Sus scrofa: one gene and its partners. The protein of the gene in region 3 purifies or fractionates together with the protein of the main gene of each other region. This does not show direct contact. Links are inferred from orthologs where the notes say so. Each region holds a gene or a part of one and is shown on either strand. Other genes may lie near its edges. The genes, in order: CLNS1A, WDR77, RIOK1, EFTUD2 and COPRS.

The links.
Region 1: the proteins of RIOK1 (region 3) and CLNS1A purify together in Homo sapiens (affinity purification with mass spectrometry; 3 studies listed by BioGRID and IntAct, with this or other methods). This does not show direct contact. The link is inferred for Sus scrofa from reciprocal best matches to the Homo sapiens genes RIOK1 and CLNS1A.
Region 2: the proteins of RIOK1 (region 3) and WDR77 purify together in Homo sapiens (affinity purification with mass spectrometry; 5 studies listed by BioGRID and IntAct, with this or other methods). This does not show direct contact. The link is inferred for Sus scrofa from reciprocal best matches to the Homo sapiens genes RIOK1 and WDR77.
Region 4: the proteins of RIOK1 (region 3) and EFTUD2 purify together in Homo sapiens (affinity purification with mass spectrometry; 3 studies listed by BioGRID). This does not show direct contact. The link is inferred for Sus scrofa from reciprocal best matches to the Homo sapiens genes RIOK1 and EFTUD2.
Region 5: the proteins of RIOK1 (region 3) and COPRS purify together in Homo sapiens (affinity purification with mass spectrometry; 3 studies listed by BioGRID and IntAct, with this or other methods). This does not show direct contact. The link is inferred for Sus scrofa from reciprocal best matches to the Homo sapiens genes RIOK1 and COPRS.

The regions. Positions count from the first base shown.
Region 1 is NC_010451.4:12,109,440-12,115,476, forward strand, and holds the start of CLNS1A (methylosome subunit pICln), read right to left. Parts: upstream 4,230-6,037; 5' UTR 4,137-4,229; coding exon 4,012-4,136; intron 1-4,011. UniProt on the Homo sapiens protein: Involved in both the assembly of spliceosomal snRNPs and the methylation of Sm proteins.
Region 2 is NC_010446.5:108,908,844-108,913,853, reverse strand, and holds part of WDR77 (methylosome protein 50), read right to left. Parts: coding exon 4,953-5,010; intron 4,613-4,952; coding exon 4,563-4,612; intron 1,961-4,562; coding exon 1,890-1,960; intron 1,751-1,889; coding exon 1,696-1,750; intron 1,237-1,695; coding exon 1,165-1,236; intron 597-1,164; coding exon 488-596; intron 1-487. UniProt on the Homo sapiens protein: Non-catalytic component of the methylosome complex, composed of PRMT5, WDR77 and CLNS1A, which modifies specific arginines to dimethylarginines in several spliceosomal Sm proteins and histones.
Region 3 is NC_010449.5:4,752,676-4,758,234, forward strand, and holds part of RIOK1 (serine/threonine-protein kinase RIO1), read left to right. Parts: intron 1-6; coding exon of another isoform or gene 7-79; coding exon 80-202; intron 203-2,320; coding exon 2,321-2,411; intron 2,412-3,536; coding exon 3,537-3,606; intron 3,607-5,454; coding exon 5,455-5,497; intron 5,498-5,559. UniProt on the Homo sapiens protein: Involved in the final steps of cytoplasmic maturation of the 40S ribosomal subunit. Involved in processing of 18S-E pre-rRNA to the mature 18S rRNA. Required for the recycling of NOB1 and PNO1 from the late 40S precursor.
Region 4 is NC_010454.4:18,486,402-18,491,960, reverse strand, and holds part of EFTUD2 (116 kDa U5 small nuclear ribonucleoprotein component), read right to left. Parts: intron 5,401-5,559; coding exon 5,322-5,400; intron 4,652-5,321; coding exon 4,576-4,651; intron 4,107-4,575; coding exon 4,041-4,106; intron 3,280-4,040; coding exon 3,244-3,279; intron 1,249-3,243; coding exon 1,158-1,248; intron 1-1,157. UniProt on the Homo sapiens protein: Required for pre-mRNA splicing as component of the spliceosome, including pre-catalytic, catalytic and post-catalytic spliceosomal complexes. Component of the U5 snRNP and the U4/U6-U5 tri-snRNP complex, a building block of the spliceosome.
Region 5 is NC_010454.4:43,089,276-43,095,345, reverse strand, and holds the start of COPRS (coordinator of PRMT5 and differentiation stimulator), read right to left. Parts: upstream 4,166-6,070; 5' UTR 4,055-4,165; coding exon 3,956-4,054; intron 1,630-3,955; coding exon 1,563-1,629; intron 1-1,562. UniProt on the Homo sapiens protein: Histone-binding protein required for histone H4 methyltransferase activity of PRMT5.

The DNA of each region.
Region 1 (6,037 bases), on a different chromosome or scaffold from region 3:
TCACCAAGCATTTCTTGTGGAGCTCTGATAATCTCAAATATGAAGATGGATTGTGTACTCTACAGAAGAAGGTTTCACTTAAAAGCAACATTTACTCTGATCACTAAGTTGTGGTTTTTTTTTTTTTTTTTTTTTTTTTTTGTCTATTTGCCTTTTCTAGGGCCGCTCCCACAGCATATGGAGGTTCCCAGGCTAGGGGTCGAATCGGAGCTGTAGCCACCGGCCTAGGCCACAGCCACAGCAACACAGGATCTGAGCCGCATCTGCGACCTACACCACAGCTCACAGCAATGCCGGATCGTTAACCCACTGAGCAAGGGCAGGGATTGAACCCGCGACCTCATGGTTCCTAGTCGGATTTGTTAACCACTGCGCCACGACGGGAACGCCACTAAGTTTTGATTTTTATTTATTCTCTTTTCATATATTCTAGAAGAAAAGCCCTTCAAAATCAAAATGTCTAATTAACTATATCTAGTCCCAAAGAAACCATGAGTCACAAAAGAGGAAAACAGGAATTAGAAAGCCTGTCAAGCGGCAAAGGAACCTCCTGCTAACCTCCAATGCGGTTGTGTAAGTACCATCAGTGTACTTTATTCCCAGCACAGGGAGAAAAACAGGACAGAAAACTAAGAGGTCTTAAATTTGCACTGGCTTAATTATTTGTTGAAAAATTAATTTTGTAATAAGACATTTGAAAATGCATTGTTTATAGGTTACCTATTTTAATTATTTTATTTCACCTGTTTCTTTTTTTTTTTTTTAGGGCTGCACCCACAGCATATGGAGGTTCCCAGGCTCTGGGTTGAATTGGCAACGCGGGAGCCAAGCCGTGACTGCAAGCTACACCACAGCTCACAGCAATGGTGGAGGCTTAACCCACTGAGCAGGGTCAGGGACTGAACCCACGTCCTCATGGACACCAGCCAGGTTCGTTACTGCTGAGCTGCGACAGGAACTCCAATTCCATCTGAATCAAATGCTCTGTTGTGAATGATTCATGACTCTGTTCCCTTTCTTATTTGGAGAAGTCAACTTCCTATGAAAATTAAGCTTTGACAATAAGCCCTAAAGTAATTTGAGAAACTACCTAAAACTAAATCAAACCCTGCCTCTCTTTGCCTAAAATCCTAAAATACCGTCCCTCAAACCAAGCTCATGACAAGGCTCTCTTCTCTAGTTTTACTGTATTTCACTCTTTCTCCCTTGGACCCTTGGATGAAGAAGTGTGGGGCTGCGAGTGTGCATGTGTTACACACTTATATCCTGGCACACAATACTGTTTCTCACCCTAGCCTCTGAGCATCTTGTTTCTTCTAATTGGAACATTTCTTTTCAGCCCTATCTCACTCTTATTCCTCATCTGTCACACCCTCTAGGAACCCTTCCCAGTTTGTTGAGACCTTGATTCTATCAGGATTTGGAAAATCAAGGTGGGAAAAAACAAAAGGGGGCAAGAGACCACAGAGGTAAGCTAGCACTGAGTAAAGAGGGGTGAACAAAAGTGTCCAAGGGGCTGGTAATACTCTATCCTTAACCTGGCGGTGTTATGCAGTGTTATATTAGTTTAATTATAATTCCTTAAACCACACATTAATTTATATTCTTTTCCGTATGTATATTTTACAAAAATATTTTATTAAAGAAGCAAAAGATTTGCTAATGGAAAGCTGAATAAAGAAAAACAATTTTCTTTTTCCACCGCGCCCATGGCATATGGAAGTTCCCAGGCCTGGGATCGAATCCAGATCCTTAACCCACTGCAGCAGGCGGGGATTGAAAGGGCACCTTTGCAGAGACAACGCCAGATCCTTAACCTGCTAGGCCACAGCAGGAGCTCTGGAAACAAATTTTTTTTAATTGATAAGAGCTTAAAAGGAGTTTGTAATTCCTCAGTGTGATAACTGTACTGTAGTTATTATACAAAAGAATACCCTTATTCTAAGGAGATTTTTGTTCATGTATTTATAGGTGAAGTGACAACGTGTCTGAAACTCCAAAAAAATCAGAAAAAAGAGATAAATGTGGCAAAATGTCAGCAACTGATGAATCCTTGGTGAAGGGGCTATGGGTATTAACAACACCTGCAACATTTTTTAGGTCTGAAATTTTTCCAAAAGAAAAAACAAGTATAAAACCTTTCCAAAACAGGAGTTATACTACAGAAGAGCCAATACACAGAGAAGCCATGGAGAAAAAGGGATTCTGTAGGGCTAGGACTGTATCTGTGTTCCACTTTCCACCCCTTAAAAGAAACTGCTCCCCCAAGATCACTAAAGATGTCTTTGTCAATACCCAACAGGTGCTTCTCAGATGTGATTTTATTTGACTGCTCCTCCCCCTTAAGTCTCTTCTTCCATCATCTCTTGGTGTAGCTGTGTCTCCAGGTTTCCATCCTTGGCCTTCTTGTCTACCCATCTTTAGTACCACTCTCCCAAGAAACCCCTTCATATGTGCAACTAATTCACACATATCCAGACTAAACTCATGAACTGCTCCTTACCCCAAACTTGCTTTCCTTCCCATCCACATTTCCTATCTCAGTGACTAGTCAAACTCCTAAGTTTGCTCAATGACTAGATTTCCCTCTAAACCAAGCATTCTTTACATTTTTTGTGCCCTCTATGGCAGGAGGTTTTGGCCCCCATGACTTTCATATCTTCTGTGAATATATTAGGTAACATGGCAAAAGGGGCTTTGTGTATGTAATTAAGGATACTAATCAACTGAAGACAAAATAGGGAGGTTATCCTGGCACATCTGTGTGAGTCCCATATAATCATGTAAGCTCTTTTTCTTTTTTAGGGCCGTAGCCAGGGCATATTAAAGTTCCCAGGCTAGGGGCCCAATCAGAGCTGCGGCTGCCGCCTACACCACAGGCACAGCGATGCCAGAACTGAGCCACATCTGCGACCTACACCAAGATCACAGCAAGGCCAGGTCCTTAACCCACTGAGCAGGGCGAGGGATCAAACCGGCATCCTCATGGATACTCATCTTGGGTTACTGCTGAGTCCCAGGGGGAACTCCCATGTGAGCTCTTATAACCAGAAAATTCTCCCTGGCTGTAAACAGCAGAAACAAACGTCAGAGAGATTTGAAGGACAGGGAGAAAACAATGTGCCATTGTTGGCTTGAAGATGAATGAACCGGAGTTCCCTTTGTGGCACAGCGGAAAGGAATCCAACTAGGAGCCATGAGGATGCGAGTTTGATCCCTGGCTTCACTCAGTGGGTGGGGGATCCGGTGCTGCCTTGAGCTGCGCTGTAGGTCGCAGACACCGGCTTGGATCCCACGTTGCTGTGGCTGTGGTGTAGGCTGACAGCTGTAGCTCCAATTGGACCCCTAGCCTGGGAACTTCCATATGCCCTGGGTGAGGCCCTAAAAAAAAAAAAAAGAATGAACTATGTCCTGGAAATAGGTACCTCTATTCTGCCACCTCGATATTTAAGACATATCTATGTGACAATGAAAGTACATAGTGTTCCGGGTACTCAAATAAAAAGGCGATTCCTTCCAGGAATGACAATGAGAGCAAGGTCCCTCTGGATATAACCCAGCCTCCCTGAAACGGAGGATGTTCCTCTTCCCACCCACACCTACAGAAAGAAACCTATACGCCTTACCCAAACTCTCAAAACCCTGCACAGTCTGCCCTAAACCTACAAGCCTGCCCAGGGCAACAGCTCTCACGCCTGCTCCTCGCAGGAGGCAGGCACATGGATGACTCTAACTCAGGGCCTGGAAACTCAACATTTTAAAACGACACCCTTGAGGGAGAGCCACACTCTTATCGGACCGCGGGGGAAAAGCGTAATTAAAGAGGAGAGCCCTGCCTGAGGAAGAGAGAAGAGGCGGCACCGAGGACAGGACACTGGAACAATCGAGTCTTCCTCTCAGCAGCCCGCCCCGCAGCCCCCGAGGCGGTGGTCTCGCCGCCGATCGTCCCTAAGGCCGGCGCCCGGGGGAGGCGGCGCGCAGGCCGCCCGCACTAGGGAACAGGGACCCTACCTCTCCGCGATGTAAAGGGTGCCAGTGCCCAAGCCCTTCCCGTTCAGCACAGCCTCCGTATTTGGCTGCTGCTGCCGGAGCCCCTCAGCCGACCCAGGCGGCGGGAAACTCCTGAGGAAGCTCATTGCAGCAGGGAGCTCACAGACACAGGCCGCCAGCGAGCCGAAGCACCACAAACCCCGCTCGCGGCGTCCCGCCCCGGAAACGGCCGCGATGACCCCGGAAGAGCTACTTAGCCGCCCCGGAATTTAACCCTGTCTGCCATAGAGACGAGCTGTTCTAGGGCAAGATCTCGGAGGCCAGAGAGGCCCCGGTGTGTCGCAGTGACGCCGTTTCCCGTCACCCTCCTTTTTCTGAAGCCCCAAGCTTGGAATGACAGAGCGTTCTCAACGGCATCCTAGGTCAGGGTCATCACTGTAACCCTGGGAGAGAGGAGGCGCAGGAATAATAAATTCCTTTTTCTACAAAAGGGGAGACGGAGGCGTGAGATAGGGAGTCCATACCTGAAGATGCATAGAAAGTAGAGGCCACACTGATTTACAGGTCAACGGTCTCCTAACTGGATTCCGCTTTTTCACCGCGCCTGCTTGCGTCATCTCAGCCTGTGCAGGCCTCAACTTAAGAGTTATGCCCTAGGTATTCGTCTAGGTCCTGACACTGCCCTAGTGCATAAGCCACGTATCCCCGGGTCTATAACTATTAGGGATATGGAAATCAAAACTACAGCGAGATTCAGTCCCTGGCCTCGCATAGTGGGTTAAGGATCCCGCGTTGCCGTGAGCTGTGGTGTAGGCCGGCAGCAGCAGCTGGGATTCCACCCCTAGCCTGGAACTTACATATGCCGGGAGAGCGCCCCCCCAAAGAAAAAACTCCAATGAGGTATCCACCCACACCTAAAAAAAGTCTACAAATAACAAATGCTTAGAGGGTGTGGAGAAAAGGGATCCCTCTTACACTGTTGGTAGGAATGTAAGTTAATGCAACTGCTGTGGAAAACAGTATTGAGGTTCCTCAGAAAACTAAAAATAGAATTACGGTATGATCCAGTAATCCCACTCCTGGGCATGTACCATGACAAAACAATGATTCAAAGTGATACATGCACCCAGTGTTGATTGAAGCACTACTCAAAGTAGCTAAAACTTGAAGAAAAAAAGAGAAAAACATAAATGGCCATTGACAGATGAATGAATTAAGAAGATACAGTAAATATGTACAATGGAATACCACTCAGCCATAAAAAGGAATGAAATAATGCCATTTTCACCAACATGGGTGCAACTAGAGATTATCATACTAAGTAAAGTAAGTCAGATAGAGAAAGACAAATACCATATATCACTTATATGTGGAATCTAAAATATGGCACAGGAGTTCCTGTTGTGGCTAAGCAGTAACAAACCTGACTAGTATCCATGAGGATGCAGTTCAATCCCTGGCCTTCCTCAGTGGGCTAAGGGTCTGGTATTGCTGTGAGCTGCGTTGTAGGTCACAGATGCAGCTCGGATCTGGCGTTGCTGTGGCTATGGTGTAGGTCAGCGATTGCAGCTCTGATTCAACCCTTACCCTGGGAACTTCCATATGCCTCCAGTGTGGCCCTAAAATGAAAGAAAAAATTTTTTAAAAGAAAACACATAAGAAGGTTGAATTGCCCAAGGTCCATAGTAACTAAGTGACAGAGCGTGACTTAGAACCTGAGCAGTAGGGCAGCACAGCCAACACCCTTTCAACCACTACACATGATGGGGCTGGAAAGTAGGCCAGGTCAGTCTGGAAAGGGCTGTGTACAGAAGAGCCTTGACATTCATACATAACTTGCCACAAATTATCCCTCAGTCTGTAACATTTTGCTAAGATAGGCAGTGAGGTGATGAATGAGCCCAGCGACTGCCCTGCACTGACACTCAGCTTTGCCTCTTATCATGAGTTAGTTTTCCTTTCCACTGTCACAAAACCATACTTCAGGAGTTCCCACTGTGGTGGAACAGGACTGGCGGTATCTCTGGAGTGCTGGGACACAGGTTTG
Region 2 (5,010 bases), on a different chromosome or scaffold from region 3:
CAAAACCTCACTGGCCCCCAGACCCCGACTCTAAAGTGATCGGAGCAGCTGGCCTAACCCCACTTAAGGCTAAGGTCTGGCTACACCTAAGTCTACAGTATACGTTTCAAAGACAGATGAGGAAAAGGGAGCAAAGCCAGGGCTGAGAAGCATCCCAGCAACTAACCTTCTCACTGGGTCCCTCCCCACAGCTTCATCAATAACCCAGAAACAACTTCCAACCACACAGCCCTAGAAGCCCACAATATTAGTCACTGTGGGTGTTGAGCAGGAACAACACCGAATTTCAGCCATTTGCAGTCAGAGACCATACAACCCCCAAAAGGACTGCAGTGTTAAGAGCCCCCTCACTGAGATTCCGAAAGCTCAGCTACAACAGTGCCTGCTTTAAGGAACTACCCAGTCGGCCAGTGCTCCGCCGACACAGGCATCTCCCCTCACTGTTCCCATTTACACCCGCCAGGCCCTCGACGACAAAGAACAGTACCTGTGTGGAGAGAACACCAGCCCGGTGACACTCTGGGAGTGCACAGTTGCGCTGAGGGCACAGCTTGCACTCTTGGTGTCCACAAGGGAGACGGTCCCATTCTCATCGCCTGAAGGAAAGAGGGGGGACATCACAGAGGTAAGAGCATGGGCTTTGGACTCAGCCAGGCCTGGATTTGGATGCTCGTTCCTCAATCTTGGACAAGTTCACCACTCTAAGCATCAATTTCCTCTTTGGTAAAGTAGAAATGATTAGTCATCTAGGGGTTGTGAAAATTAAATTAACAGGGTTAATTATAGTTATTAGGTTATTCGATGACATAGTTGTTAGGTTCCTACAAACTATGCACCTACAGGCACAGCCACGTCGGCACGTCAGCACCACCACCCCCTCCACACAACAGAATCCCCCTGTAACAATCCACTCGCTTTGTGGCCCCTGACTTCCAGCTATGCCAGAACACAAGAGCCACAGCAGACAATCAGGAGTCAAATCTACTAAGAAAAAAATCATCGTGTTCTCCAAAGCTAAACCAAAACCACTTTCGGATCATTCCGCCTCCCCGCCCCCATGAGCACAACTCATCTAGTGCCCAAGTGGGCAGAGTGGGCAGCCAGGGCTCTCTCGCTCATCCTCCCCTTCCCAGAGTCGTCCCACAGTTTCACACGCTGCCTTACCAAAGACAAAGACTTCACTCCGCTGAGGATGCCAAGCCAGCGAGGTAGGCAGGTAGCCAGAGGCCCTGTAGCCTGCAAAGGGGAGAAGAAGGGTCTGAGACAAAGCTGCTCGGGTGAAGTCACTCTAAATCCCGGCGGCACCCTATTCGGTATCGTGAGTCCTGCCAGGGCCGTCTGTTCTCCTCCTTGACCCTCACAACCTGCACCTCCCCATCAGCCTCCTGCCCCTGCCAGACATGAGTCACGGGCAAGTTTCAATGATAAAGCAGGAAGAGAACAACTCTGGCCCCTTCGTTCCCTCATCCAGGCAACATAAGGTACATCGCCCACCTAGGAACCAGCCCTTCCTTGTGGGACCCACGGCATCAACTGGCTCAACAGAGCTGCAGTGGGTAGGAGAGCAATTATGCCATTGGGTCAGTGACTGGGCCGCCTTCGCCCTTGACTCTGGCCCAGGAAAGCCTCTTCCAGGTGGGCTCCTGGGAGAACTCGGTCCTTGTTCACTCTCCCACCACCGGCTCTCAGACTCACCTATCTGTGACGCTGGCTTGGGACAGCGAGTATCCCAAAGTAAAATTCTATTGTCCTAGAAGAAAAAGGGACAGAAAAAGGGCTTCACGATCCAAGGAAGCAGCCGCTCGCCGGAAGCCCTCCACACCTGACTGAGGTCCACAGGGTCTGGGTGCGCTTAGGGGGCGGGAAGGGGAAAAGAGGCTTTAGCTCACCTCACTGCAGGAGAGAAACACGGAGTCTTTGTGGGGAGAGGCAGCAACACAGGTGACCTGCCCAGAGTGAGCTGCAGAGGAGAGAGAACAAGAAATACGACGGAGAAATGGAGGCAGTCCAGACACTATCAAGGGGTAGGAGGGAGGCTGTGAGAAACAAGCCTAGTCGTGTGATGCCATGTAACAAATTCCGTGAGCGTTTGGGATAAGACAAAACCTAAGAGGAAATGTTGATAGCATTATAAAACCTCAAAAGGCTTCGGGAAAAATGAATCACTACAGACATGAAAGATAAATTAAAGGCTGGGTAAAAACAGTAGGGGAACTTACAGCAAGGACCGTGGAAGAGCAGAGGCCTATGTGCCTCCAGGCGCATACGAAGACTTCTGAGGGAGCTCTGGACACCGAGAGTTTAGAGGGAATGGCTCCAAGGCTCTCTCTCCACATTGAACTGAGACACTATGTAGAGGCTGCCAGCACTGCTCACCTCTGCCCTCAGTCACCCGTCTCCCACCGTGCGAAGGAAACACGCACCTCTCACCCGCCCCAAGCCCACCATGCTACGATGCTCAGGAGTCTAGAAACCTAAGGTAGAAAACAAAAGGGGCTTGCCCGAAGAGCTGACCAAAAAAGAAAGGGCATCTGGGTAAAATTCGGTGGGGGAAGCTGGCCTTTCTCATCCCCATCACAAATCCTAGAGTGGTTCTGTGGCTTATCTCTTCTGTTTAATAATGAGAATTTTGAAAAATATGGCATGTGGTCACATAAAGACACCTAACAGGTCCATACGAATTTAAAAACGAAGTGTCAGATTTTTCAAGAAAAGTGCTCAAGTCTCACTTGGCCAACTTTAACACACAGTTGGTTTTTGGCAGTTAGGTTATTTGGTAGATTTTTTACATAAATCAAATGAGCTTAATCTGAAAATCCAAAATTCTGACAAACATATTTTGAAAAAGTGTACCGTAAATGGCACGGCTAGATACAACTTTCTTTGCGATGAGCTCAATTTAAACTAGAAACCACTTTAAAAACATGTGAAAGGGTACAGTTTTTCAAGACTCCCTTAGGGCTACAGGCTAAAAATGTTCAAGGTCAATGCTAAGTGTTAATTAAAGGCTGTGGAAACCACCTTCTCTAAAGCAACTAACCAGACTTTCTGAGATAGTCTGAATGTGGTTCCGCCCAGGTACGGAAGAGGGGGGCCTCAAACCATCCTCCAGAGAATCCATGCAAAAGCAACATGATGAAAAGCAACATACTGCTCCTTAAAAACAGCAAAGTTTTGGGACAAACGCAATGGGAAAGTACAAAGATGAAAAGATATGTGGTTCCTCTGCCCTGGAGGGATTTGGAATCAGCGCAAGAGAGTAAGAACAAACACAAAGAACTAAAGAAAAAGGCTAAAGGTGGCAGGCAATGAAAAAGTTCCTTAGCACTGACCAGGAAAACACGCTGTACATCTAGAAAACACAAAGTAAGTATGTCAGACTTTGAGCACTGACATTCGAACATTATTGTCTAAATATATGCTCTGAAGCTCCAAGAGACGGATGAGTTTGTGATTTTGCTCCCAACATATCTGAATCATGCACTTAGCAGTGAGAACTGGCAAAGAAAGGCACTTAGCCATTGAGGGAACCAGTGATCAATCACCCCATCTACATCACTTAGCCACACACACATTAATGCTCTAGATACTATCTTCAGTAGGAATTCCTGTCATGACTCAGCAGCAGTGAACCTGACTAGTAACCAGGAAGAAGCGGGTTCAACCCCTGGCCTCGCTCAGTGGGTTAAAGATCCGGCATTGCTTCAAGCCACAGCGTAGGTCACAGATGCAGCTCGGATCTGGCGTTGCTGATGATTCGACCCTGAGCCTGGGAACTTCCATACGCTGTGGGTGTGACCCTAAAAAGACCAAAAAAAAAAAAAAAAGATTTGGTATCTTCATGAAGATGGCTCTCAAAATAAAATCAACTGCCAGTGCTATTCATTAAGGTGAGCAGAAAAAGAAACATAAGGGATGGTTCTCACCAAAAAAAAAAAAAAAAAAAAAAAAGAGAGAGAGAAAGAGAGATTTTATGGAGGTGAATATTCAAAAGTTCAAGATTCACAAGCATCAGAGTTTATGCTTGGGGAATGTCAAAGATCTACTGTGACTGGGTTTAGCTAGCATGGTATGCTTGAAGGAGAGTCACAGTGAAAAAAAGCCCGAACACCATGACATAAACATAGGATTGTAATCTGTAAGTCGCAAGAAATCAATGAAAGACCAAAGATTACAGGTAGAGAGATGAGATAAATGCCACTGTCTGTGTGAAGCCTGTAAGTAAAAGGGGGCATAAGAAATGGAAAAGGTCATGGACCAAATGAAAAAAACACTCCAAAGGACCTGGGGACCAACTGATAGTGGGAAACAGGAGGAGTAGGAGAGGACTGGGAGTTTGAGCCACTGGTGGCCAAGAAGGTGGTGAGGCTGTCAATAAAAATAGAGAAATTAAGGGGCAAGGATCAACAGTGGGGCCTGACCACCATTTTGGAAGAAAACTACCAGGCAGGAAAGCAAAGAATTGATTTATTAACATCCAAGCAACGTTCAAAAAGCACAAAGGGAAGAATAAAAACAAAACGGCCAAGGCCAGGACTGAAAAGGAAAGAACATGCACTCACCTCGGTATGAATTCAGAACCATCTGCTGAGCAAGGTCCCAAACCTTGATGCTAAGAAGCAAAAGGAATCAGAGACTTAATTTTGACCTACACCACCTACATTAAAAAATTGCATTCAAATAAGAACTTCGAGGGAGTTCCTGCTGTGGTGCAACTGGTTAAGGACCTGACTGCAGCTCTCGGGAACTTCACTTAACTGACACATCCTATGTCTTCGCCTCCTGGATTTCTGTTATGGGTCTACGTTTACAGTGGACTGCAATATCTCTAATGCCATCATTAGTCACTAGGTCCTTATAATGAGTCTAAAATGTTGGTTAATGAAACGAACATGATACTAAAGACACACAAAGGAGGCCTAGGCACAGGAGTGATGAGATCAGGGACCCACCAGAAGTCTTTGCTACCACTGACAGCTTGTGTGCCAGAGCTCAGGACACTGACTGAAG
Region 3 (5,559 bases):
TTCTAGTGAAAAAATTGACTCGAAGACGGTCAGAGAGGATGTTCTGTTTGAAGACCTTCAAAATAACGTGAATGAGAAGATGAGTGAAGGTGAGATGGAGGAGGAGGAGGAGGAGGAGTACGATGACGACGACTGGGACTGGGACGACGGAGTCGGAAGACTCACCAGGTGCTACGCCTCAAGCGGAGGGAGTAACCCACAGGTACCTTGCAAATGATGCTTTACATCTCCGTGTTACTTACTTCTGTCTTCTTTTTGAAAAGGGCTTTTTGTGGTTCTGGAACTAACCGAAAGATTTTCATCCGGTTATATTGTCCTGTAGCAATATAGGTTTCTAGAACATGAAGATGTGGGACGGGCGGAAAAGCAAGAATGTTAAAAGAGCTGCTTTGTGGATTAGAATGCATACATTCTTGAAATAACCAAAAAAATTGCACACTTTCATGTGTTTCTTTTGTTTGTTTGTTTGTTTTGCTTTCTAGGGCTGCACCTGTGACATATGGAGGTTCCCAGACCAGGGATCAGATCACAGCTCCAGCTGCCAGCCTACACCACAGGCGCAGCCATGCCCAGTCTGAGCCTTGTCTGCAGCCTACACCGAAACTCCTGTAAAGGCTGGATCCTTAACCCACTGAGTTAGGCCAGGGATTGAACCCGCATCCTCGTGGATGCTAATGGAATTGGTTCCCTCTGCGCCACAGTGGGAGCTCCTCCACTGGTTCATTGCTGAGACCGAGCAGTTTCAGTGCGGAGTGGAATTGCTCATATTAAAGCGAGTGGGGGAAACACGTGCCCAAATGTTAACTGTTAATCTTTAGGTGCTACGCTTACAGGTAATTAAAATTTTACCTGTGGTTTCTACTGTGAACATGTATTATTGTAGTTTAAAATTTATTTTAGGACTTCCCATTGTGGCACAGTGGAAATGGATCTCACTAGTATCCATGGGGACACGGGTTCAATCCCTGGCCTTCATCTGGGGGTTAAGGATCTGGCGTTGCCGTGGGCAGTGGTGTAGGTTGTAATCGAGGCTCGGATCCCGAGTTGCTGCGGCTGTGGTGTAGGCCGGCAGCTGTAGCTCCCATTCTACTCATGTCCTGGGAACTTGCGTATGCTGTGTATGTGGCCCTAAAACGTAAAAAATAATAATAATGTTTCTTTTAAAAGTTATATTTAATAGGTAAAATTGTAAAGTTCTCTGCAAACAAGAAACAAGTCAGCCTCCAAGTTCATGCTCAGATAACAGGATGGAGTCAGGCATTGTGACAGGCCCTTTTATTTATTTATTTACTTTATTTTTTTATTTTTTATCTTTTTAGGGCAGCACCTGTGGCACATGGAGGCTCCCAGGCCAGGGGTCGAATCGGAGCTGCAGCTGCTGGTCTGTGCCACAACCACAGCCACACGAAGTAGGAGCAGCGTCTGCGACCTACACCGCAACTCACTGCAATGCCGGGTCTTTAACCCACTGAGCGAGGCCAGGGATTGAACCTGTGTCCTCATGGGTACCAGTGAGATTCGTTTCCAGCGAGCCACGGTGGGAACTCCTGTGACAGGCCTATTTAATCTCTGTTCCCTGGGCTGTGGATTCGGGTGGCGTCTCCCCTCTCTCCCCTTTCTGCTGTTGCATCAGTCTGCGCTGCACGGGTCTGAGTGCAGAGGCTCATGCCCTGTCTCTCCCTGTCTTGAGACACTGGGCCCAAAATGAAATTCCAGTTTAGTGTTGGTCTGAGCTCTTAATTATATACTTTGGGGGTAAACGAACCTTCCCAAATTTTCATCTGTAAGCCAATCCAATTAGAAAGATACATTTAATTTTGTTCTTTATTATAGTGAAGAATATATTGTAGGAGGCTAGAAACAAACACAAAAACACATTGTACAGACTCTTTATTTTTTTATTTTTGCCTTTTCTAGGGCCACACCTGCAGTACATGGAGGTTCCCAGGCTAGGAGTCCAATCGGAGGTGTAGCTGCTTGCCTATACCACAGCCATAGCAACACCAGATCCTTAACCCACTGAGCGAGGTCAGGGTTTGAACCCGAAACCTCATGGTTCCTAGTCCGATTCGTTAACCACTGAGCCACAACGGGAACTCCTGGGTTTTGTTTTGTTTTGTTTTTTCTTTCAGACTCTTCATTTTAGGCAATGACTTTGTCCTATTTCAGATGGCCTTTGTAAAATATTTCTTGGGCAAATTTGATTGATTTTTTTTACCTGAGGCTACTCTAAGTATTGGTGACTAAGGGACATGACGTGGTGAACTGCGGGCTTGTGTTTATAACAAGAGCTTTAGTCTCTGGGACTCATTTCTTCCAGCCAAATCGACAGACTCCCAACTGCAATTCAGCCAGAATGTCTACTCCAGCAGACAAAGTCTTACGGAAATTTGAGAACAAAATTAATCTAGGTAAGTGTATAAGATACGTTTCCTTGCTGGGCTATGAAGCAGTTCTTCAAAAACCACAAATGTGTTAGAAAATTTTATTAGATCAAGCAGTGGATATATTCAGTGTTACTAAGTAATGATGCTTAGAAAAAAATCAAAACTTAGTAATTTAAAAACATGGCTTCAAGGAAAGACTTTACATTTTTTTAGTTCTGTTTTTCTCTCCTTTTGTAGAGATATTAAGTTACAGATCGCATTCAAGTCATTGTCCGTTTTGTATTAGATTTTGTAATAAGATTATCTCGTGGTAGAATGTTGAAAATACTAAAAATTGGAACGTGATTACAGTTTGTTGTGTTAGAAATTTTTGTGTGGCATTAACTTTTTTGGGGGCTGGTGAATTTGGATTTGAATGGCTCTTGAAAAGGCGAGGTCCTCTCTCCCTGGTGACACTAACAGTTATGAGCCTGACACGGCGTCTCCTGGAACCTGTCATTTGCAATGAAACAGACATTTTAGGATAAACTTGGAATTCAGGCAGTTACGTTCTCTCTGTTAGTATAAAATATTAACTGATGTGTGAAATTCAACATGTGCAGGTAAGATGTTTTGAGGGATTTCTGGATCTAGATTTCTCTGGCTCAGAAATGACGGTTCTTGTGATAGAAGTGGTCATCCTTGTTAGAAGGAAGCACAATTACTGCCTGCCTTTCGAAACAGTAGACATCTTTAGTACTAAAATATATCCTCTAAGGAGTTCCTGTCGTGGCGCAGTGGTTAACAAATCCGACTAGGAACCAGGAGGTTGCAGGTTCGATCCCTGGCCCTGCTCAGTGGGTTAAGGATCCGGTGTTGCCGTGAGCTATGGTGTAGGTCACAGACGCGGCTCGGATCCCGCATTGCTGTGGCTCTGGCGTAGGCTGGTGGCTACAGCTCTGATTCGACCTCTAGCCTGGGAACCTCCGTGTGCCTCGGGAGCGGCCCTAGAAATGGCAAAAATAAATAAATAAATAAATAAATAAATAAAATATATCCTCTATGTATCGTAAGTAAAACACTTAGAAAATTGAGAAGGAAAAGTCCTATTCAGAAACTTTTTGTCTTACGTGTTATTTATACAGTGAATGTTTTTTTGGTATTTTTTAGATAAACTAAATGTTACTGATTCTGTCATAAACAAAGTCACCGAAAAGTCTAGACAAAAGGAAGCAGATATGTAAGTAATGTTTTCAGTGTATAAAATACAGATAAATAAAACAAAAGATGGCTGATAGGAACGAATTCTAGACAGATTACGTAGCATCTTGGTCATAATGCCTTTGCAAAGAATGTTTCTCTGTGTATCTGTCCTAATTCTTTTTTTTTTTTTTTTTTTTAAGTTTAAATGAGGGTATCCTATGCCTTTGTAGGTTGTAAATATTTTTGAGTTTTCCTAAGAAATTTGTACTAAAACTATAATCTTGTGAAATTTGCAGATGTGCTCTCAGAAAGGGAACAGTTTGTAGGTTTCAGTTTAAAATGGTAGCGTATAGGGAGCCTGTCGTGGCTCAGAGGTAACGAACCCAACTAGTATCCATGAGCACTGGGGTTCCATTCCTGACCTCGCTCAGTGGGTTAAGGATCCGGTGTTCCCGTGAGCTATCGTGTAGGTCGCAGGCACGACTTGGATCCCCCGTGGCTGTGGCTGTGGTGTAGGCTGGCAGCTGCAGCTCCCGTTTGACTCCTAGCCTGGGAACCTCCATATGCCACGGGTGCGGCCCTAGAAAAGACAAAAAAAAAAAAGCATTAATTCCCTTCCATGAAACATTTTTAAAAACTTAAGTGCAGATTTAGAACTAAGTAGTCACATGACAGAACAGTTTCCTTTTACAATTCTTTTCTCAAAGCCAAATGTTTAAGATCTGGCTAACCTATTGCAGATATTTCTAACGCGTTAGCAATATGTTATAGAAAGTAACTAAGATCATACAACTAGCACTGTTAAAACTTAACTTAAAAACCAGTTTTCTGGAGTTCCTATTGTGGCTCAGCTGGTTATGAACCCGACTAGTATCCATGAGGATGCAGGTTCAGTCCCTGGCCTTGCTCAGTGGGTTAAGGCTCCAGCATTGCTGCAGGCTTCAGTGTAGGTTGAAGATGTGGCTTGGATCCTGCATTGCCAGGACTGTGGTGTAGGCCTCACAGCTGTATGGCCCTAAAAAGAAAAATAAACAACAAAAAAAATAAAATCAGTTTACTTCCGTTTATTTTTTTTTCTTTTTCTTTCTTTCTTTTTTTTTTTTTTTTGCTTTTTTTAGTGGCTTTATTAGAGTTTTGTTTTGTATTGTTTTTGTCTTTTTTAGGGCCTCACCCATAGCCTGAGGTTCCCAGGCTAGGGGTCTAATCGGAGCTATAGCTGCCGGCCTGCACCACAGCCACAGCAACACCAGATCCGAACTGCATCTGTGACCTACACCACAGCTCAGGCAATTCCAGATCCTTAACCCACTGAGCAAGGCCAGGAATCGAACTCACAACCCCATGGTTCCTAGTCGGATTGTTTCTGCTGCGCCACGATGGGAAGTTCTACTTCTGGTTTATTGCTGTACCAAAGGGATACCAGTCTTTTGAGAAAAACCACTTGTTATCTCATTGGTGTGTCTGTTTGAATTTTTATTAGTGTATTTATTTATTTATTGTCTTTAATTCTGTCTAAAGTTTGTCTAAAGAAAGCAGTAATTCTGTACTAATAGAATCACTAAAGGACTCAGGACAGTATTTACACACCTGATGTTTTCTCTTTTCCAGCATAGTTCACGTTATCCCACTGTTGCACTCATTTAAACCTTGTGGATAGAATTTTTCCTTACTGCGGATAGGCTCCTTTTGCCCCAGGGAACGGAATTTCTTCTTACTAAGGGGAAATGAAGCTTCTCAGAGCGGCGAAACCGCCGTGATCTCATGAAGTGTGTTACCAAAGAACCTAGGTGCTTAGGGATTTCCTGGAATGATGTGCATTCAGAAACTTTTGATTTTGGCTTCCCTGAATTTTGAATGTCACCTATACTTTTTTGGTTCTGCTTAGGTATCGCATCAAAGACAAGGCGGACAGAGCAACCGTAGAACAGGTACAGTTTAAATATGTTGCAAGTTCTTGTTTTAAAGTAGTAGTTCTGGAGTTCCCATCGTG
Region 4 (5,559 bases), on a different chromosome or scaffold from region 3:
AAAGCATGTGAACCCACAAAGAGCCCCGTTCCCTTCTCCCCACAGCTCCCTGCAGTGTATAAAATTCCACATTAGGAGTTCCCTGGTGGCCTAGTGGGTTAAGGATCTGGCATTGTCACTGCTGTGGCTTGTGTTCAATCCTTGGCCCAGGAATTTCTGGATGCCATGGGCATAGCCAAAAAAAATTTCCACGTTAGTGTCCCATCCTTGGATTGTGCTTTTATACAGGAGGCCCCCAAACATAAAAAGGAGGAAATGTTTTACCAAGCAGGGCATAATGCATTCCACTCACACCCTAGCTTAGTCTAACCATCAGTGAGTCGAATTCTGTGGGACAGAAGACAATCTGGAGGCAGAAAAAAAGGCAAAGGAAGGGCTTTAGCATGGAGCTGGTTCCTGGCAAAGTGCTGCTGCTGGGTATGGGTGGGGGTCAGGGGCTAAGAAGTAGGAGGGCATAGGGCACCTGATGGGGCAAAAGGCCAATCTGCCAAAACCCAGATTTTCCAGAATTCCCATTGTGGCGCAGCAGAAAGAACCTGCTTGTACCCATGAGGATGCGGGTTTGACCCCTGGCCTCACTCAGTGGGTTGGGGATCTGGCATTGCGGTGAGTTGTGGTGTAGGTCACAGATGAGGCTCAGATCCTGCACTGCTGTGGCCCCCTAGCCTGGGAACCTCCATATGCCATGGGTGTGGCCCTAAAAAGCAAAAAATAAAAATGAATCAAGAGAAAAAGGCAACCAAGGGACAAGATATGCTGCTCCATGGCAACCTGTACATCCCCAGCCACTGGTAAGTACCCGTGGTCTCCATCAAAAGACTGAGATGGCCTGAGGCTGGGACCATGTCTGACTCATCTTTGTCACCCCAATGTCTAGCACAGTGACTGACAGGCTGAAACTAATATATGAATAAGATTCCCCCAAATTTAAATAGTCTAGAGCAGAGTCAAGAGAGGAATAAGACAGAAGACCTGGAGCACAGTGCTTGCTAATTAACTGGTTAGAAGCAAAGGAAACCGTTAAAAATGAAAATTATCATCTTAATGAACAGAATGTAAAAAGAAAGACATAATGCTCTTTTCTGTTCTAGAAATAGTAGGAGCACAAGAAAAAAATAAGTCAAGGTTTTGACAGTAAAAGGTCAGGAACATCCTACCTGGAGTGTCCATGATATTGAAGAGATAGGATTTTCCTTTGGTATCTGGCAAGACCACTGTCACAGGAGTACTTTTGATGCCAACACCCCTCTGAAAGTCACAGAGAGAGAGACAGGATGATCAAGAGCTCATCCTATGCAGGAGGGGTTTACTCTGCTTTGGGGGCTTCCCAGTTGCTAGTAAGTTACACCACTGTCTCTCCTTGTAGTGTGTGTGATTTTGTAACCTAGTCCTCTAATCAGAATGACCTTGAAGACAAACTATCTTGGTCTTAACAGCATTTCCCAGGATGGGGGAGAGTTGGTTCAAATACAAAAAAGTAAAAATAAAAGAACAAGCAAGCAAAGCAGTGGTAAACCATAATAGGAGAATCCACAGTCCTAAAATCTTATCTTCCTCGTACACTATAAATAAAAATAATTAAACATCATATAAATCAAAAGAAACTATCTGGGTTATTTTAGGTTCCTTTTTTTTTGGCTGTGCCTGTGGCATGTGGAAGTTCCCAGACCACACAAGAGATCAAACCCAAGCCAGAGCTGTAATAGCACTGATCCTTAACCTGCTAGGCCATGAGGGAATTCCTAGGTTTTTTTTTGTTTTTTGGGTTTTTTTTTTTGGTCTTTTTGCCATTTCTTGGGCTGCTCCCTCGGCATATGGAGGTTCCCAGGCTAGGTAGGGGTTGAATCGGAGCTGTAGCCGCCAGCCTATGCCAGAGCCACAGCAATGCAGGATCCGAGCCACGTCTGCGACCTACACCACAACTCACGGCAATGCCGGATCATTACCCCACTGCACAAGGGCAGGGATCGAACCTGCAATCTCATGGTTCCTAGTCGGATTTGTTAACCACTGCGCCGCAACAGGAACTCCTTTTTTTTTTTTAAATATAGCGAAAGTTATAGTAGGAGTTGCTGCTGTGGTACAGTGGCTTAAGAATCTGATTGCAGCAGTGGAGGGGCAAGTTCAATTCCCCAGCCCGTCACAGTGGGTTAAAGGATCTGGCATTGTCACTGCTATGGCTTATGTCACTGCTGTGGTGTGGGTTCAATCCCTGGCCTGGGAACTTCTACATGCCACAGGCACAGCTAAAACCCAACAAAAAAAAGCCCAACTCCAGTCAAATATATACACACATATATTTTTTAAATAGCTAATATTTGTTGATTGCTTATCATATGCCAGCACCGTTTAGAGTTCCTTTGGTTAGTCAAACTTATACATTTGTGCTTTCCATGTGGTCATTTAAGAGAGACAGAAATAAAGGAGGGGAGTTCCCATTGTGGCTCAGCAGAAACAAATCTGACTAGCATCTGTGAGGACACAGGTTTGATCCCTGGTCTTACTCAGGGGGTTAAGGCTCTAGGGCTGCCGTGAGCTCTGGTGTAGGTCGCAGACGCAGCTCGGATCCTGTGTTGCTGTGGCTGTGGTGTAGGCCAGTGGCTACAGTTCCAATTCAACCCCTAGCCTGGGACCCTCTATATGCCATGGAAGCAGCCCTAAAAAGACACACACACACACACACACACACAAAAAAAAAAAAAAAAAAAAAAGGAGAAGAGGAAACAGAAGGTGTTAGAGGGGAGGGATAAAGATCCCCTCTAGATGGAAAGACTAACCAGATGGAATGGAAAAGACAGAGATATACGTGCACTCCTTTACAGAGAAAGAGAAGAACAAAGAGAGATGAACCTCTTCTCTAAGGGAAGCTGCCCCTAGGAAGAGCGACATATGGATGGAGTCATCCTATAGATTTTAAGGATGATGTCATTTTAAAAATCATGTTTGGCTTCTGTATAACTTACAGATAAATGTACACACCACCTCTTGGCATCTGCCCCATTAGGCTAAATTAAATCCAGGTAAGGACAGGAGGGTCTCTCCTTTTATCCTACAGTTTGCCTACCCAGCTCTCTTTCAAGTTAGAGATCATGGGACGAAGCAGGGAGATAAAGAGGTTGAGGGATGGGAGTTATGGGGGACGGGTGCTGTATGGGCCAAAACGTTATCATAAAAACTTTCCCTACAAAACCACCACTGCTGGGTCTGGTGTGGCAACAATCAGATTCCCAAAGGCACACTTACCTCTTGCTCTGTGAAGAGGATGTCTGTGTAACACAGCTGAAAAAAGAAAAAAAAAAAAAAATGTAGTTACCACCTGAATTCAGATTCTTGCCACCCACAAACCATCAATCATTCCCCTCACCCACTCCTAACCTGGGGGCCTCTGGCTCAGGAGGAGAACAGATGGAAGGCAAGAGGGTGCGCTACAGAGAGTTCAATGAGACTAGGGCCCTCCCAGGTGGAAAATGCTCCTGGATGGTTTTATGGGGGGAGTCAGGGAAGTCACTAAGGACCGAGGTGGCTGGAGAGCTAAATCACATCAAATGCATTGAATTCTGCACAGTGGTAAAGGAAGACACCTCTAGCCTTCACGGAACACCCGCACATCAAAACAGTCAATCTGGCGGAGACTGAACAGTTATTGCACTGAGACTTGCAGCCACACTGGGCCTCATTCACAGGCATTTAAATTTATCATGGAAACAACAAGGTCCAACTGTATTATATTTATAGAGTAGGCTATTAATACTATGACAGGAAAGAATAGGCTATAAAAGTCAGGATATATCAGAACACAGGAGGGATCTCAAGTGCAGAACAGATCATCCAAAAATACTGCAGGTTAATATTCTCTATGTTCCTGAGAAAATGGAAATTATTTTCTTAAGGGCTATTAATAGAAATTACAATTATGAAGCAGCATATTATAGGCATCATTACTTATAATGAGAGTGGGAGGTTAGAAGGAAGGAGAAGGAGAGACACCCCCCTGTGTTCTGAATGGTTCATCCCAAACCCTCCACAGAATTTCTACTTACATCTTGGTCATAGCGCTTTCTGATTTCCGGGTGAGTCTGCTCTATTAAACAATCTACAAAACACGTCTGCAAGGGAAAAGAAAGTTATGTTCTGCTGGCCACAGAGGAAAATCGACTCCACCCTCCCCCAGTTACCAATACACCACACAATTCAGGGATAAGGAGAGGAGGAGGAGAGCAGGGGAGATTATGGGACAACAAAGAAATAAAGAAGCCACGGGATTATTTTCAAATGAAAGATGAAATCTTTCTTGGGCAAGCGTCCTCCAGGAAATGAAAACTTATAAAATAAAGTAAGGCCCAATTTCCCCTCTGCTGTCCAGATGTAGACACAAGGCTCAGGCATGCAAGTGGCTTAGCTTTCCATCTGCTGCTCAGGAAAAGCTGGGATTTCACGGCTCGGTTTCACAATAGGCTCCAGGGAGGCCCTGCAGAGTCAGGAGGTCCAGCCTTATGGCCTCAGACCCCAATTAGTGACTCTTAGGCTGAAACACTCAGCAGAAACAAAGAGCAACCCTGTTCCAAGTTCCCTCACCTTGCCATGGTGGAGATGGCCACAGAGCGTCACGTTTCTGATGAGCTCCGAGTTATCCATCAGATCTGCCAAGAAACTGAAAGGAGAAAGGAAGAGAGAAAAGGGACTCTGGCAACGGTTTTCAAACAAAGGAGCGGTGCAGAGATGTTCTAGGTATTTTTGGCCAGGAACAATTTTCAGCCCAACTGGAGAATGTTCCAAGGCAGACATGAATTTCTACCCCTACACAGTTCAGGCTTTGGGAATGGAACAGACTCATTTGTGAGGTGACATAATCTTGAAATGTCATGGAGCTTTCAATAGGAAAATAATGACATTTAAAAAGCAAGTAAGGGTGAGTTCCTGTTGTGGCGCAGTGGAAACAAATCCGACTAGGAACCATGAGACTGCAGGTTCAATCCCTGGCCTCGCTCAGTGGGCTAAGGATCTGGTGTTACCATGAGCTATGGTGTAGGTCGCAGACGAGGCTCGAATCTGGCGTGGTTGTGGCTGTGGTGTAGGCCGGCAGCTGTAGCTCCGATTAGACCCCTAGCCTGGGAACCTCCATATGCTGAGGGTGCAGCCCTAGTAAAAGACAAAAAAAAAAGGAAGAAAGAAAGAAAGAAAATGCTGGCAAATTGTAGGGAGAGAGTTCTGCTTTCACAATAATTCACTGGCTACTTCAACCACAAACCACCTCCTACCTCCACAAAAAAAATGAACCCATACTGTTTGTGCAGAGATGCTGCAAGACCTTAATAACTTACTCCATTTCATACACTGTGACAGGTAGTGTCTGCTCCATCAGAGTGAATTTCTTGGTTTTCACTGGCTTAATAATGGGTTCTAGGAGAAAAAAAAAGTAGTGATGTGCAGGTAGGCATAAAACATAAAAACACAGAGCCCTATTCCAACAGACTGAGCTTTCAGAATATACGATATGCGACATCAATTTATGCTATTCTCATGGGTCACTGAGATTGAGAAAGTCCTGGGAATGCTATT
Region 5 (6,070 bases), on a different chromosome or scaffold from region 3:
GAGCAAAGGTTCAAAGAAAATGTGCACAAAAATGTTCAGAGCAGCACTGTTCGCAATCACCAAATGGCAGAAACAACCCAAACAGCTATCCGCTGATGAATGGGTAAATAAACTGTGATGGAATTATTCAGCCATAATAAAGAAATGAAGGTACTGCTACCTGCTACAACATGAACCGTGAAAAAACCATGCTGAGTGAAAGAAGTCAGACATAAAAAAACCGCATATTGGAGTTCCCACTGTGGCGCAGCAGAAACGAATCTGACTAGCATCCATGAGGATGCAGGTTCAATCCCTGGTCTCATTCAGTGGGTCAGGGATCTGGCATTGCCCTGAGCCGTGGTGTCGGTCGCAGACGCAGCTCAGATCCCGAGTTGCTGTGGCTGCAGCAGAGGCCGGCAGTAGTAGCTCTGATTCGACCCCTAGTTTGGGAACCTCCATATGCCATGAGTGAGACTGTAAAAAAGGGGGGGGGAAATATACATATATATATCATGTAACTCCATTTATAAGCAACTCATATGTGCCTATACGGAACAGGTAAATCCACAGAGACAGAAAGCAGATCTGTGGTAGCCAGGGGCTCAAGAAGGGGAGTGTAGGGGGTGACTGCTTCTTAGATACAGCGTTTCCTCTGGGGGCCAGGAGAATGTTCTGAAACTAAACAGTGGTGGTGACTGGCCCAATATTGTGATTGGGCCAAATGCCACTGAATTGTACACTTTCAAATGGTTCATGTTATGTGTCTTCTTCCACAATCTTTAAGGTTTTTGCTCTGTAGCTCGGTTTCCTCATCTATCACAGGCAGATAGAGCCATTGTCAGGGTTTTTAAAGGAAAAAAAAAAAAAAAACCCACTTAGAACTGTACATGGCACACAGTGAGTACTCAGTGAAGTGTTAGCTGCTAGGACTACCCCTATTTATGTGCTTGGTGCTTTATCCAGACCAGCACTGGCCAAGAGAACTTTCTGTGATGACGATAACATACTTACTACAATCTGTGCTGTCCGAAAGGCTAGCCATGGCCGTGTCTGACTACTGAGCATTTGAAATGTGGCCCATGTGACCAAGGAAGTGAATTTTCCACTTTATTTCGTTATAATTAAACAGCTATTTGGAGTGGGGATTTCAGTTCTACATCCTATCACCCCATCCTCAGACAACCCTCTAAGGAAGTATTATTATCCCCATTTTAAAGATAGAAAAAGGATAAAAAATATAAAGCCACAAAACTAAAGCCCAGGACCCAGTCCCAGAGCTGAAAGGGAAACAATTTCAGCCGCCTGCAAAGCCTGCACACTTTCCGCTGCCCTGGGCTGTCTTCCTCGGCAGAAGGGGTGGATCTGGACCCAGGCCCAAGACTCTCTTGCAGGGGGAGGGGGGGGGCTTCCAAACGAGAAGACGCCTGAAACACTAGGCAGAAAAGGCAACCGGCTGGGGAAGAGGAGGGCTGGCTACAAAGAGGAGGTACCTAACCAAGCCGGGGACCGACCTTCCTTCTCTGTCACTTCCTCGGTCTTTCCCAACACCCACCTCCCCCCAGGCTCCGCCAGCTACTTGCCTAGTCGATCCATGGCCTTCTCAGTCTCTCTCTCCTGACCAGAGTGGTCAGCCAGCACAAAGGCAGCCTGCGGGAAGAAGAAACAATTACCCGGGCCTTGGAGGCCTGCGGAGAGCCAGGATTTCAGCCCCACTTCCACCCTTCCATAGCGCACTTCGGGAGGCTGGGGTGGGGACTCTGCAACCCACGTTTCTGCTTTGCCGTGTCAGGCTGGGCCAAGCCCGAGGAAGAAGGGCCCGGCTCCTTCCTACTCCTGTAGGGACGGGCCGGCAGAATCGCCTGCCTTCCTAGCTGCCTGCATCCAGCACGCGCAGAGCCAGCCTCCTGCCCAGCCCTCTCCTGAGTGCTCGGAGTCACAGGTCCTCAGGACCCCGACGCCAAGCTCAGAGACCCCAGCACTAGCCAGGGCAGTGCCCCCTCTTCTGAGGCTGGAATTTCAGCGGGCTGCAAAGCCTCTCCCCTGTAATCATTCCAACCTCACCTCTTTTGTTCCCTGAGCCCCAGGGCTTGGTTTGGTTTCCTACAGCAGCAAGCTCCTCCTTACCTTTTCAGTTACAAACCGACTTTTATCTAGGGAACAGCTCTTTTTATCAAATGCTGTCTCCTGATGGATCCATGGGGACAAGAGAGCTTTTTTAGGCGATGAAGGGAAATCTTCCCTCATAGCCAACCATGTGCTTTTCTGCTCCCATCACTCAAAAGTTCCTGAAACCCCATCACCTGTAAGACCTCTTTCTAAGTGAAATACTCACAGCCTGCATGAGAAGACCTGATTACAAGCCCATTCATTCAGTGTGTACCCTGGACACAGCACTTCAGCTACCATGCCTGAGTTTGTCAGGACACGGGGGATGCCTGTTCTGACTTTGTGGGAGGCTTATACTGAGATAACACTCATGAAAACACCTAGCACACGGCAAGAATATAACATCTGTTGCTGTGTGTCTTTTTAGGGCCGCACTTGTGGCATGTGGACGTTCTCAGGCTGGAGGTCGAATCAGAGCTACAGCTGCTGGCCTACGCCACAGCCACAGCAATTCGGGATCTGAGCCACATCTGCGACCAAAACCACAGCTCATGGCAACGCCAGATTGCCGACCCACTGGGCGAGGCCAGGCATGGAACCTGCATCCTCATGGATGCTAATCGGATTTGTTTCCGCTGCACCACAACAGGAACTCCCATCTGTTGAATTTTAATTCACCTTCTTTGCTCCTAAAGCTACACTGCACTTGGCACCTGTCCCAATTAGCTCATCATCTGCCTGGATTTAATGAGTTAATTCCACCTCCTATGGTTAAGTGACAACTCCTGGTCACTACTGCTGGCCAGGAGTGGGACCTCTCACTTCTTCCACTGCAAGAGCCCCCTAACTGGCTTCACTCACCCATCTTGCCCAGCCTGACAGCGCTAATCAATACTCTGCTCCGAAGGCCTCCACTGTGGGACCACAAACTTCTCCATGGCCTCCAGCCCCATCAACCTACGGAGATAGTTCTCTCGCCCAGCTCTGGGACCAAAGCTCCCGGCCATTCGCCCTGCACTTCCTCACCTCCAGACCTTTGCCAGGAACAAGCATCCCCCCGACCCTAGAGAGGAAGCGCACAAACCTTCCTGCTCTGCCCTGACAAAACCAGTCTCATCCTACCTGCACCCCCAAAGTAATTTTCTTTCTAAACCCATCACTACATTTTTTATATCTTTCTTTGGTTAAGTACTTTCTGTGATGCCTAAACAAGCATTCTATTCCTCCATCCAATTAATATGCGTGTCTGTGGTGTCAGGCACTATGCTGGTCACCTGGTTAACCAGCACTAGAGGGTTCCTACCTCAACGAGCTCATGTCTAATAGGGATTATTGACTGTAAACGGGGCAGGACATGACTGTTAATGGTGGTCCGGCGCGCAAATGAAAACAAGTTTCTGGAAACCCTGCGTCAAACGCGGCCTTTTGCTTTCAGTAAAGGTTAGAGGAGAGAGCGCAGCAGACATCATCTGGTGCTCAGGGTTAGCTGAGCATCGCCACGAAGGGACATGGATCCGCCAGAGAAGATCGCTCTACTCGCTGCCTTCACCTGGCCCCAGCCCAGGCCCAGCTCTCGGTCAGCAGCATCACCGCCCATTTAGCAAGGACGCCGAGGCGCTCGTGGGCCGCCAGCTAGACCTCTCCGCCCGGCGCGCCCACCCACGACCACGAGGTACCCTGCTCCGCCGCCCCGCGACCCGGCCGTTTCCAGCTCGGGCGCGTGCCCAAACGGCGCTCCCCGTTCGCAGGGAGGCCCGAGGCGCTTCCCCGGCTCCGCGGCCCCCCACCCGGCCCGCCCCATGAGCCCCGCAACTTCCCGCCCCCGGCCGCAGGTGGTGACCGCGCCCAGGCCCCGCGCCGCGCTCACCCCCGGGGCGGGGGACGCCTCCCGCGCGCTCAGCTGCGGCCGGCCCCGCGGCGGCTCCGCGGCCCCCAACGCTTGGGCCCCAGCGGTGAGAGGGTCCATGCCCGGCGGCCAGCGGCTCTGAGCCCGAGACGCTCGCTGCTCAGCCACGTGACGCACCAGCCTGGCAGCCAGCCCAAGGATACGCCGCGGAGGGCCAATCAGCCGGGGGTGCTCCCGGACGGGGGGCGGGGCGCGGGGGTCACGAGGAAGCCGGGGGCGGGGCGGGGCGGGGCGGAGCAAGGGGGCGGGGCGAGCCCGACTGCAAAGGCCTCCTGCTCACGTACCCGCTCTGGAGTAGGATTTTGGAACGTCCTGACCAGGTGCGGACCCCAGGGCTGGATGACTAGTTGGGTCTGGAATGCCAAGTGTTATCCCTACGCAACCACACTGGATATGCTTCTGCTTCAAAACCTCGATTTCCTGTTAGGCGTCTACATGATGATGTATAAAACTCAGCTCTCAAAACTTCACACAGTTGAAGCTCCAACCGCATCTCACTCTTGTCTCTAAATAGGTTTCTCTGGAGCTTAGGCTGAAATTAGACTATAACTCACAAATGGATGAGACAACTCAGCAACCCAGTTATCCTCCACCTTGAGTTAGTGACTTCTCAAACCCGTTAGAAACCTAGGAATAGATGATCAAAACAAACTCCTACAACATGCAGACATCCTTATAGGCTGATACTTGGTCACAGTAACCCTAAACCTTCTGTACTGTGCTGGTATGGTCTCACCTGGGCTTCTCTCTTTTAATGCTCCAAGTCTGGCCCTCTACAACCTGAGGGCAGCAGAATTCTGACAGGCAGCGCCTGAGCAGGGGATACACCTTCCCTGCCTAAACTCCAATAACATATCTGCTCAAGGTGGGATAGTCATGTTAACCCTTAAGAAGCAGAAAAGCTGGAAGGTGGGACTCCTTGCTCACCAGGCCACCTTACCACAATCTGAGACATTAGAGGGCCTATTCCTTCATTTCCCTCAAGAATGTGCTGTTTATACACTATATAAAGCATTTGAACATTTTAGCCTAACAAATCATATGTCGACTTTCCCACAGGGGAGAGAATGTGACCAATTAATGTGTGTTCTGCTCCAACTCATGAGTTAGTTTCCCCAAATCTAACTGAATCTAGGTCAACAGTGTCCAACAGAACCATATGCCATGGTAGAAATAAAAGTTCTATTATCTGTGCTGTCTAGCATGGTAAATATGTGGCCAGAGTAAATGAAAATCTGAATTATCTAATTTCAATAAATTTAAGTTCCCACACGTGGGGAGAAGCTACCCCATCTAACAGTGCAGCTCTAGGTGAACTAGCTAGATGCACTTCCATAACCTGCAATGGTGAGAATCAGGTAGAGGGTTGTGTGACCGCAGGGTGACCCACCCTCACAAGCCTTGCTTTAAGGAGTCAACCACCCTGCTCTTCACTCTCATGTCTGAAATGTGACAAGTATCTCTTTCCTAAAATAAAAAAGCCCTTTAAGGATTTAAAATGTTGACCTTCCTAAGACTTACTGGAGAAGAGAAAGAGGAAATTTTTCTCATTTTAATATAAATGACATACAAACACCATAGAGAGTACAAAAGGTCCTAATGAAAATGCCCTAAAATGACTCTAATATTCATAGAAATATAATAAAGGTATTATAAATCAGTCAGAGAAAAATGGCCACAAATGGTATTGTGGAAAATTTAGTTCACTGCTTGGGGAAAAAAAAAAGAGTCGTCCTCATCAAGAGGTAGGGTTTTCAACAATAAAAATCAGACCCCACACATAGAAAACCTCTGGACCTCAAAAAAACACTAGAAGAAGAAAAAAAAAAGCTGGGGACACATCATTAGTAATAAAGAGACAAACTTAAGATTAGCATTCCTCATACATAAAAAATTCTTTATAAATTAGTTTAAAAAAATTCAAAAAATAGTCAAACATGAAAAGAGTACCAGAAAAAAACACAGTAACTACACTAATATCAAAGAAATACACAATAAAACAATGACCTACACCCCTTTACATCTATTAAAATGGGAAATATAAGAAATATAATATCAACAGCAGGTAAGGGTGTT